Linked DNA regions of Cricetulus griseus. The main gene of each other region encodes a partner of the protein of the gene in region 2 in a complex. Links are inferred from orthologs where the notes say so. Each region holds a gene or a part of one and is shown on either strand. Other genes may lie near its edges.

Region 1 (3,652 bases), on a different chromosome or scaffold from region 2:
CCAGGTCCTCTGCAAGAGCAGCAAGTGCTTTTAACCACTGAGCCATCTCTCCAGTCCCTTACACTTGTTTTTTTTTTTTTTTTATGTAATTCCTGAAGATCAAACGTGTGGCAAGCACTTTGCTAATGAAGCTATCCCCTTTAATAAATGGTAAAATTCTATGTGTACCAAAGAACTGTTTTAAAACAAACTTCTTTATGATTTATTATCAATAACTGTTTAATTTGCATTCCTATTTACCTATAGTCATGTAAGTTTTCTCAGGCAAGAAGGGTCTACAAGAAGAAAACAGTGTAAGAATCCTGCTCTGGAGATGAGACCAAGGCTTAAAAGCAGTGCTTGCTTGCTTGGTTTTTAGGTATTTGAGACAAAGTTAGAATTGCTGAGGATGACCTGAATCTAGCCCAGGTTGCCTCAAACTATTGATCTTCCTGCCTCAGTTGCTCATGTGCTGGGGTTAGAGGAATGTGCCAACTTATCCACTGAATTTAAGAATCTCAGAACTGGCCAGGTATGGTGGCAGCACTTAGGAGGCAGAGGATCTCTGTGAGTTTGAGGCCAGTCTGGTACACAGAGCAAGTTCCAGGACAACTAAAGCTACACAGAGAAACCCTGTTTTGGAATACACATGCATGCATGCACGCGTGCACACACCACACAATCTCAAAATTGGGACTGGAAAGATGGCTCAGTGGTTAAGAGCACTAGCTTCAAAGGATCGGTGTTCAATTCCCAGCATCCACATGGCAGCTCACACCTGTCTGTAACTCTCCAGCACCAGGGCTTCTGACACCCTGGTGTCAGAAGATCAGACATACATGCAGGCAAAGCACTAATGAACATAAAATAAAATTTTTAAAAAGTTTCCGAATTGCCGGGCTGTGGTAGCACATGCCTTTAGTTCCAGCACTTGGGAGGCAGAGGCAGGCAGATCTTTGTGAGTTCGAGAACAGCCTGGTCTACAGGATCTAGTTCCAGGACAGGTTCCAAAGCCACAGAGAAACCCTGTCTTGAAATGCCCCTCCCCCCAAAAAGCCTCCAAATTAAAAATCTCAGAGCCAGGCATCGCAAATACCTGTAATCGCAGCACTTGGGAAACTGAGGCAGAAGGATCAGGAGTCAGGTTATTTTTGGCTATATAGTGAATTCAAGATCAGCCTGGACTGCATGAGACTGTGGTCTCAAAAACACAAACAACAACAACAAAAACACAAATAAAACCAAAGAATAAGAGAAATACTCAGGTTCACATTGTCACAGAAAGCCCACTGTCAATGGGGTTGGAGAAGCAGCTCTCTGTCTCCTCTTATTGCTGTGAACAGCACAAGACTTAACTTTAAAGCCAGTTTGTCCCCCAGAGCTGGGCTCTCTGAATGGGCCCTAGAAGATCAGGGTAGACACTGGGGATATCCCTTCTTTCTGTCCAGATAGCCTTTCTTGCATACCCCCCAAATCCCTCAGTGTGACAAATATAGGTTCCTCTTTCTCAGCAAAAGCACACAACTTCCTATGGGAAAAACCAAGTAGGTCAGCAGCCTTTGGGTTTCTAGGCACCTGACTTAGATAGACTCGATAGTCTTGCTACTAAAGGCCTCACACACTGAACCATAGGCACAGAGCAGCAGGAGAGAGACACTTACTTATGGCAAGGGAGAGGGGACAGAGGCAGACAGTAGAGAGAGGGGAAATCACACACACACACACACACACACACACACACACACACACACACACACACACACACACACTATAACTGGCCCAGCAGGTGGCTAAAATACCAACTCCCTGGAGCCAACTCCTAGATTAATCCTAATTGACTGGGAGACTGTGGGTGAATCATTTCCCTTGTGTGTCAGTTTATGTGTGCTTCCAGAATAATGGGGATGAGAGCAGGACACTCAGCCTGGAGTGACAACACTCAGTGGATCGCTGTGGATTGCTCCCAGGCTCAAGCTTGGGGTAAGTCTGACCTTGCCACCAGCTCATGATCATGACAATTTACTGTCCCCTTCCTTTACTCTCCTTAAAGTCTTTGCCTGGATAACAGCTGGTAGCCCTGGGGTGATATGTAGAAGGAGCCTGGGCCTGTAGGAAGCCTCGGGAAGCCACGGCTGGATGGCCGTGCATAGGTGGGGAGAGGGCTCAGCCAGGAACCATCTTCTCTTAACCATGGATGGGGAGATGTCCTCAATGTCTCTGGAAACCTTGGGCCCTAAAGACTGTATAGCAGAATTGGGGACATAGCCGGGACACTTGCCGCCTGCTCATCAATGCGCCGGAAGTCCAGGTACACAAGGTCAGGAAGATAGGCATAGATGAACTCCTTGTACTCCTCTGCCTCAGCAATGGGGTTTTCAGAGAGGGTGAGTGTTCGCAGGCATGAGAACTGGCGCAGGTAGATGATCTGAGAAGGGAGTTAGCAGAGGTCTGCTATAGAACTGGAATAACACATAACACCTCCACCCTCTACACCCTTCTTTTCCTTAGTCTACAGTCTGGCCAGGGCACCAGGTGAGGGCCTGTGGCTTCTGAGTCAGACTTTAGTTCTGAGACCAGTCACAAGATTTCAGAAGAATCAGACAAGGAGAGCTCAAAGCCTAGCTGAGGGACATTTGGCAAATGATCAGTCTAGTGTGTGAGTCTTGATTCCCTTCTCTATAAAACAGGCAGAATGACATGGTGTGTCATCAAAAGGCCAAATGAAATAAGCTATGAGGAGCAGTCAGCAAGGTGCACAACACCCACTGACTGACTGCTTACAATAGTGTGACCTTTTAGATAGTAAAACCACACGAAGGCCCCAAGTCTCCTTCACTAAATGGAGCTGGATTTCTGGCTCACCTTTTATTCACTGGACAACAGCAAGAAGAGCATTCTGCTTGATGCTGTTTATCCTCCCTATGCTTTGGCTTTAGTAAAACGGGGAGATCAACCACATGGCTGGTGCTTGCATGACAGCAACATTGAAACACAGACGCTGCACTGTACACCAGACAGGTAAGGTTTCTCATGGCCCCTGCATTGGCTCCTGCTTCCAGATTCCTGCCTTGAGTTCCTGCCCTGACTTCCTTTGGTGATAGACTGTGATGTAGAAGTGTAAACAAATAAACCCTTTTCTCCCCAAGTTGCTTTTGGTCATGGTGTTTTATCACAGCAATAGAAACCCTCACTAAGACCCAGCTATGGAAGAGCAGGGGGAGCACAGTCCAGGAAGCTAAAGGCCCTGAGGCAGCAGAGAGCTTGGCACAGTCACCAACAGCACTCATCTGAGGTTGCTGCGGAGAATGGGGAGGGGACAGGTGGGAGGACATAAGACACAAGCAGAAACAATATCAGAGGCTGCTTCCTAGAAGAGCACACAGGCTTTCAGCAAGAATTTCCATGTGTTCTAAGAACTATGGAAGCCACTGGAGTCTTGCTTGTGGAGTTGAAGGCAGTATCTGGTTTAATTTCTAAAAGGTTTTTCAAATAAGAGTCCCCTTTACATCTTTTAGCCACAGAGAGAAAAAGTTGCTGACAAAATGCATGGCAGTAGGTAAGAGTGAGCGGGAAGCCCCTAGAGAAGTCTGGCAGAGATGTACGATACCCTCTGATCTAGCAGCCCCACTCCAGAGTTTACCTTGCAGATGGGCCAGTGCAGGTGTAGGGACCC
Region 2 (3,652 bases):
CATGTTTTTCCATGCCCTTGTAACGTGATTTTATTTCTCTGCATTACTGAAATATGAAAATACTGCATTACATAAAATATGAAAACAGTCCTATTTGCTTCAAAATTAGGAAAATGTAATAGTTAGCATATCTGTTTCTGAAAATCTTGAGGGGAAAATGACAGTATCTCCTCATTGTTGGTCCTCTACAGTAGTTAACCTGTCTCTGTTCTTTCCTCTCCCAAAGGTCTTGGTTGAGAAGTGTCTCCAAATTTCAACGGTGGTTTTCATTGGCTCACCACACATCTCTGACTGTGCTTTCAAAGCTCTTACTTCCTGTAACCTCAAAAAGATCCGATTTGAAGGTCTGTGAAGCCAAAAACATGATTTAACCTTGTTTTTAAATTTTTTTCCCTGGACCTTTAAATATAGTACTTGTATTTCCTTCTTTTCCACAGGAAACAAAAGGATTACTGATGCATGCTTCAAATACATAGACAAGAATTACCCAGGTATCAATCACATCTACATGGTGGACTGCAAGACACTAACAGACAGCAGCCTCAAGTCACTTTCAGTTTTGAAGCAATTGACAGTGTTGAACTTGACCAATTGCATAAGGTAAGAAGTCATTCAGGGTATGTCAACTCAGGGTTCAAGTAACATTATCAAGGATGAGCCAGTCCCTCTCCACAGTGTTAATGGGGATCAGGAAAGGCAGGGGACCAAGTCTTACTGTGTAGATGAGTTTTCTAGTTTGACTGATAGAGTAATTATATAATCATTTTTGACGGCACATGCATCTGATTTTAATCATACACATAGGCCCAAGACTGTACGCAGAGGATTTTCCCTAAAAGTTCACTTGAAAACACAGTTTTGTTGTATTGCACTAGCTCCCAAAACCAGCTGAGCTGGCTCGGCCTATTTTTCATTCTAGATATCTGGAAATCTTTTTGAAAGGAAACTGTCTAGGTTTGATTGTTGTTAGGAGAAGGACAACTTACACTGTTTCTCACAGAGGTTTACAAGTAGCGCAGTGTGGGTGGGGCTTGAGGGGGCTCTGAGGTTGCTAGGTACATTGTGTGCCTGGAAAGGAGCTAATCTATCTCAAACTAAGCAGAGTCTCAGGTTACTAAACTGTCCTGCTTCCGGTGGGTTCTTTCTTTGTGAACTCTCACTCCTGTTTCCTTGCCCACAGTGCTGCCTTTCTGCTTTCTTTTGCAAATCTTTTCCAGAGACACACTTCTCAGTCTTATAGCTTGGGTTCTATATTTTATTTTCTTGTTAGTGAAAACATTACTCATTGATTACTCCAGTCTGGTGTTAGCTAATAGGTAAGTTTGTTGTGTTTGGACCCTGCTCTTCGTCATGCCTCACTTCCCACCCCACCAGCCTCTGGCTTGCCTTCCTAGCTGCTGGTACAGCAGTGACTGGGTGAGATGCATCATGGGAATCACTAAAGTTTCCATTCGCTGGAATACTGTTATGATAGTTTTTAATGTCAACTTTGTCACAATTTAGAATCACCTGAAAGGATTTCCAACCTGTCTGTCAGGTTAGCCTGTTGGCATGTCTGGGGGGGGGGGGCTTGTTAATTGGCATGGGAGACCCACCCTGACTGTGGGCAGCACTATGCCCTGGTTTGGGGGTCCTGTGATGGCTAATCTTGTTTGGTAATTTAACACAGCCTGAAAGAGGGGCCCTCAATTGAGCAATTGCTTCTTTCAGGGTGACCTGTGGGCATGACTATGTCTTGATTGCTTTTAGACGTAGAAGGGCCTAGCCCACTGTGGGAGATGGTGTCTCTGAGTGGGTGGGCCTGGGCTGTCTAGAGCCTAGTAGCAAGCATCTCTGAGGTCGGTGTTTATTCCCTGCCTTTGGTTCCTGCCTGAACTTTTGTCCTCGATTCCTCTGATGATGGACTCGAAACTGTAAGGTGTAGTAAACCCTTTCCTCCCCAGGCTGGTTTTGGTCAGTGTTTTATCATAGCAACAGAAAGGAAACCAGGACAGGCCTTGAGTAGTATGAGGAGGGAAAGCTAGCTGAGAGCAAGATGCCCAGCAGGCAGCTTGGGTGCCTGGGTACCTTCAGCTCTCTCTGCTCTTGACTGCGGATGGGAAGAGACTAGTTGCTTTGAGCTGACCTCCCTCAATGGTGGACTGTAACCTAAAACTATAAGTAAGTACGCCATCTCAGAAGCTGCTTGGCTAAGGGTGCTTGGCTCATTGAAGCAACAGAAACAATCACCTTCTGCCTTTTCTGCTCTGCTCCTGGCGAGTCAAAGGGAAAGTGCAGCCAGCAAGGAAGGCTCTGAGTGCTCTTCCTGCCCGCACACCCTCCTGTAGACTGTCTGTGTGTGATATAATCAATCGCTTGTCCTGTTTCACTGGTGGAAAGGCTTTCTAGAGACGCAACTGGTGGTCTTCAGATAATATTAGAAGTAAAGCCCTCCTGGAAGACCGAGGACAGTACAGGGAGATAGCGTGGCCCCTCAAGGCGCTTCTAATGACGACAGGCTGAAGTCACCGACTTCTTCCAGATGCAAGTTTTCTCTGGCCTAGAGTTCCAAAGGTCACCCCTTGTGTTTCTGGTCCAACCCAGGTGACCTTGAATTCGGTAGAATCCATCCAGGATCTTGAGTCTTGCTTCTTCCTGTTCTAAAATTTGGCCTTAGCCTTTTGCTGATCCTATCAGGGATTTTTTAACCTTAGTACATTTTAAACTGGAAAAAAGAGATCATCCATGTTATTAATAATCATGCCACCTAATAAAACAAATGGACACAAATAACATTTTATTAATATCTCTCCTATTACTATCATATATCCATTTTCTGTTATATTAAGAGCTATGCAATCATTTTCAAAAATTTGACAAAACGCCAGTGTATGGATATTTCCTACTTTGGAATGTATTTGGTGTAGAAACTGGTGTCACCACCAGCCTGTATGTTTATTTATGAGAACATATGTGACCCTTCTGTCTCTCTTTTCCACAGGATTAGTGATGCTGGCCTGAGGCAATTTCTTGATGGTTCTGTGAGTGTGAAGATAAGAGAACTCAATTTGAATAACTGCTCCCTTGTGGGCGATCCCGCCATTGTGAAACTGTCAGAGCGGTAGGACAAGCGACAATCTGCATTAGAACATTAGCTGTAACAGGCGTGACCATGGATAGACCTAAAAGCCAAGAGCCCAAGTCCTTAGCTGCATGTTGGGCACACCCAGAGCTAGAATAGCCGTTAGGCTTGAGTCCTTAGAAGGAAGTAGCCTAACCCCATCGTTGCTGCTCCCTCTTATTGTTACTGGGTTTAATTCTGAACAGAGAGATGGATGTGTAGATAGTGTGACTTGTCTGCACTTTTCAAGGATTCTGTCCCTACTTCAGGTTTCCTGAGGACTATTGTAGATGATTGATTTAATCCTGACCCTCCTCGCTTGGCAGTGGCCTCAACTAAGGCTCCTGCCATAGACCAAGGAGAGAGAAGTGTGGAGGTTGGCCATGCATGTCTGGTGTCTACTCTTCAGGGTGTTTTCATGCTGGTGTTTTATGACTCTGAAAAACACTTTTCTTGCATTGTTCTAAACCATAGTGTGAAACGAAATCAAAGACAGTCTCATATTACTCCACCTTTCTTCCCTCCAACTTTATATTAGCCAGATGGGGCTCC
Region 3 (3,652 bases), on a different chromosome or scaffold from region 2:
ATGTAACATTTTCTTTTACTGTTGTATCTATTTCTTCTATCATATCTTCAATGTTGGTGAGACTTCATGGTGTAGATTCTCTGAAGTTTCCAGGAGACACAGAGATTGACTTTTAAAAAGTCTTCCCTGAGGTTTAAACCCCAGAGTCCATAAAGACTCTACCACTGAGCCTCACCTGCATTCAGATGTTTAACCTTTAAGTCTCTGTGTTCTGGGAGTTTCAGACTACCGAGCTATATTAACATGAATTGTCAAAATGCTCATCATAGACCTTAGAGGAAGCTGAAGAAATTGTTCACATGGTACAGAAATTCTGAAACATGATGTCCCTAGATGGGTTTGATTTTCTCTGATAATGGATTCTGAAGACTCTACTCATACAGACTCATATGAACATTAAAAATAGTTGTCATTTGGATGACAGTGTATTCTACTTAATAGCCACCCATAGATTTATTTTTTGTTGAAACAATAAATCTCTTAAAAACTCATCTGTTCAATTGGGATCTATGAGCCTTTTAATAGGATTTTTGAAAGAAAGTGCAGGATTTATAGCTCCGTATAAATTGCCTGACATGGAAGTTAAGGTCAGTAGAGCTTTGTTCAGTCGGTCGGAGTTGAACCCGGAAGCAAAAAAGACTTGTTTCTTTCTCGTTCTGTAGTGCTAGGTGCCAAAAGCTCTCATCTTTAGAATAGTATTTTCTTAACTTAGGATGACAGAGCAGAGTTCTAGTACTCAGGAAAGTATTTCATAAGTACAAGAATGATTTGAGATGTAGGTCGGTCCTTGAGATGATGTATTCAGGGTTCCTCATTTCACGGAAAGACAGTGCATTTGTGCAAGTCAGAATCTGGGAGTCATTTTAGATGCCTTTTCCCCCTAATCTGTAATGGGTGAATGCTGTCACTCTGTCAAGTCTTCTTAAAGGTCACATACCCACTCTCCTCATGGCCACCACTCCAATCTGCACCATCACCCTTTGTCTGAAGTAGCCACCTCATCCACAACAGAGTGACCTTTCAAAACACACACCTATGAGACTGTCTGTGGTTTTGCATTGTTCTCAGGATAACAGGGAATGGCTGTTCTGGGGATGATAGGGTCTCTCTCCAGCCTCTTCCAGCCCAGACACTACAGTTGCCAGTGACTTCCCTGATGCGCTGATGGGAGAGGCTTCCTGTGCTCTGTGCTCCACTAGACCCACATTCCTTTGCTCATGGTGTTTGCATAGATCTAGATTTAGACATTCAAGCCAGGCATGGTGGTTCATGTCTGACATACCACCATAGGGGAGGCTGAGCAGGAGGATCATTTCAAGTTTGCATAGTAAAAACAAATTGGATACTTGCTTTTGTGTTCGGTGTGTGGGAGCACACATGCCAGAGGTTAACTCTGAGTGACAATCCACTGTGATGCAATTACACACCTTGCTTTTGACATGAGTGCTAGGAATTGAGTTTAGGTCCTCAGGGTTGAGTGGCAAGCAGGTTACTGAATTGTATGTGTCTCTCCTGCAGAAAACAAGCTCCACAAGCTGCATTTGTGTCTATAGTCTCATCACCAAGTCCTAACCTTGTCTCAGTGTTTGAAAGAAAGTAGTTGCTCAGTATATTTGTTGAATGAATAAATGACTGTTTCTAATTGTTCAGGTGGAAGAAGAGGAACCCACCGGATACATTCGTTTTGAAAAGTTTCTTCCAGTGATGACCAAAGCACTTCTGGAAAGAAAGTAAGGAAGTAAATCCAATTTTAAGACAAGATAACTAGAATGGCAGTAATTTCAAAACATTTGGCTGGCCAGGTGTGATGCCTTATGCCTGTAATTCCAGCATTGATGGGCTGAGGAAGGAGGATTGCCACAAACCTGAGGCTAGCCTTAGTTATGGAGTTTCAGGCCATCCTGAGCTACAGAGTTTTGCCTCAAAACCAAACCAAACCAAACCAAACCAAACCAAACCAAACCAAACCACTTGGCCTTTTATATTTTATTTACCCAGTCTATATCTTAGGGTAGTTTCCTCTAGCCTTTCAGTGTACTGCAGACTGGTTTAGGGATGTGCTTATAAATATAAACCATGCTAGCATTTATTAATACAAGCAAGAAATAATGAAAAGGAAAAGGAGCTACAAAACCAACAACATTGTAGTTATATTTAACTGTGAATTACTATTTAAAAATAAAAATTAACATTAGTTACTTTCCTAGCATAAGACAGCATTAGCATATGACAGTTGATTGATTGTAGATGTTTTGGTTGTAGATAAATTTATTTTTATATCAATGAGAAAATGCTAATAGGTAATACCAAACATTCCTGTGGGGTAGGTACTGTTGACTTTCATATCCAGAAATCCAAAGAAATTTCATCAAGGGAAATGCCATTAGCATAGTATATTAGTGGCTTTTATTTTGCCTAATGCAGTCATTTATCATGTAGAGACTGAGATAAATATGCTGGCATTAACTCACTTTATTGTAAAATTACAGATACAGACCAATTGGTGAAGATGTCCTTCTCAGAGCTTTTGAGGTGGGTGAACTCCAGATTATTCATGTATATGTGAAAAACTAATTCATCATATAGTATTTATTCAACAAAGAAAATATATCTACTTTCCCCAGGTTTTGGATCCAGCTAAACGAGGGTTTCTGACCAAGGACGAACTGATCAAATACATGACTGAGGAAGGTCAGAGCACTTTATTTCTTATTTGAGTAATTTATGCAAAGATAAATAGGCTTAAAGATGTTTATTTTTTAATTGTGTGTGTGTGTGTGTGTGTGTGTGTGTGTGTGTGTGTCTGTGTGTCTGTGTGTCTGTGTGTGTCTGTGCATCTGAATGCAGTACCCATAGAGACCAGAAGCATCATGTCCCCTGTAGCTAAAGTTACAGATGGTTGCCAGCAACCTGACATGGATACTGGAAACTGAACTCAGGTTCTTGGCAAGAACAGTGCATGGTTTTAACTGCTGAACCATCTCTCCAGCCCAATTAATAAGTTCTAAACAATTATGCAAAAGTTATGGGAGGCGATACTTTAAAAGCAATTGTTTGGTTAAATAATTTATTTATTATTCCTATTATTTTGGTTTGGTATTTGATTTTGTGTAATAGAAGTGTAATGATTACTTGTATAAATTGTGTTTACTTTATTCACTTAAAATATTTTCTGAATAAAAGACATGCCACTTAATATGAGCTGTCAATCATAAACCAATGCCTTTTTAGACAGAAGATTTGAATTATAGTATATAAAAATTTCTTTCAAAAGACTGTCTTCGGTGGTAAAGTTGCAAACAATATAGCCTAATTGAATGCAAATTCACGCAAAACTGTATTTTCTTACGATAATGGGACCTCCTCTGACAAATACCTATATATTTCCTTAAATGTTCTCTTTTTATGTCAATATATATATGTGTGTGTGTGTTTCCGCTAACTGTAAGCAGCATGATGGACAATCATTAATGCTGTTCAGACACACACACCCTGCACTAAGGAAGGAGTTCTGCTTCCTCTACACACACACACACACACACACACACACCCTGCACTATCTTCAGCTCCCAGATGCACAGGCCACGTGGTGAGTGATGCAACAGTCACCCATCAGTTGGACATGGACATGGGTATCATTTTGAGCAAGGAG

Evidence for each region.
Region 1: Fbxl13 (region 2) and Drc3 share a complex: the UniProt entries of both Homo sapiens proteins name them as parts of the nexin-dynein regulatory complex. The link is inferred for Cricetulus griseus from reciprocal best matches to the Homo sapiens genes FBXL13 and DRC3.
Region 3: Fbxl13 (region 2) and Efcab2 share a complex: the UniProt entries of both Homo sapiens proteins name them as parts of the nexin-dynein regulatory complex. The link is inferred for Cricetulus griseus from reciprocal best matches to the Homo sapiens genes FBXL13 and DRC8.

Annotation. Positions count from the first base shown.
Region 1 is NC_048600.1:74,496,687-74,500,338, reverse strand, and holds part of Drc3 (dynein regulatory complex subunit 3), read right to left. Parts: intron 2,405-3,652; coding exon 2,258-2,404; intron 1-2,257. UniProt on the Homo sapiens protein: Component of the nexin-dynein regulatory complex (N-DRC) a key regulator of ciliary/flagellar motility which maintains the alignment and integrity of the distal axoneme and regulates microtubule sliding in motile axonemes.
Region 2 is NW_023276806.1:172,973,807-172,977,458, forward strand, and holds part of Fbxl13 (dynein regulatory complex subunit 6), read left to right. Parts: intron 1-226; coding exon 227-344; intron 345-437; coding exon 438-600; intron 601-2,980; coding exon 2,981-3,100; intron 3,101-3,652. UniProt on the Homo sapiens protein: Substrate-recognition component of the SCF (SKP1-CUL1-F-box protein)-type E3 ubiquitin ligase complex.
Region 3 is NC_048598.1:15,668,654-15,672,305, reverse strand, and holds part of Efcab2 (dynein regulatory complex protein 8), read left to right. Parts: intron 1-1,650; coding exon 1,651-1,730; intron 1,731-2,489; coding exon 2,490-2,532; intron 2,533-2,624; coding exon 2,625-2,691; intron 2,692-3,652. UniProt on the Homo sapiens protein: Component of the nexin-dynein regulatory complex (N-DRC), a key regulator of ciliary/flagellar motility which maintains the alignment and integrity of the distal axoneme and regulates microtubule sliding in motile axonemes.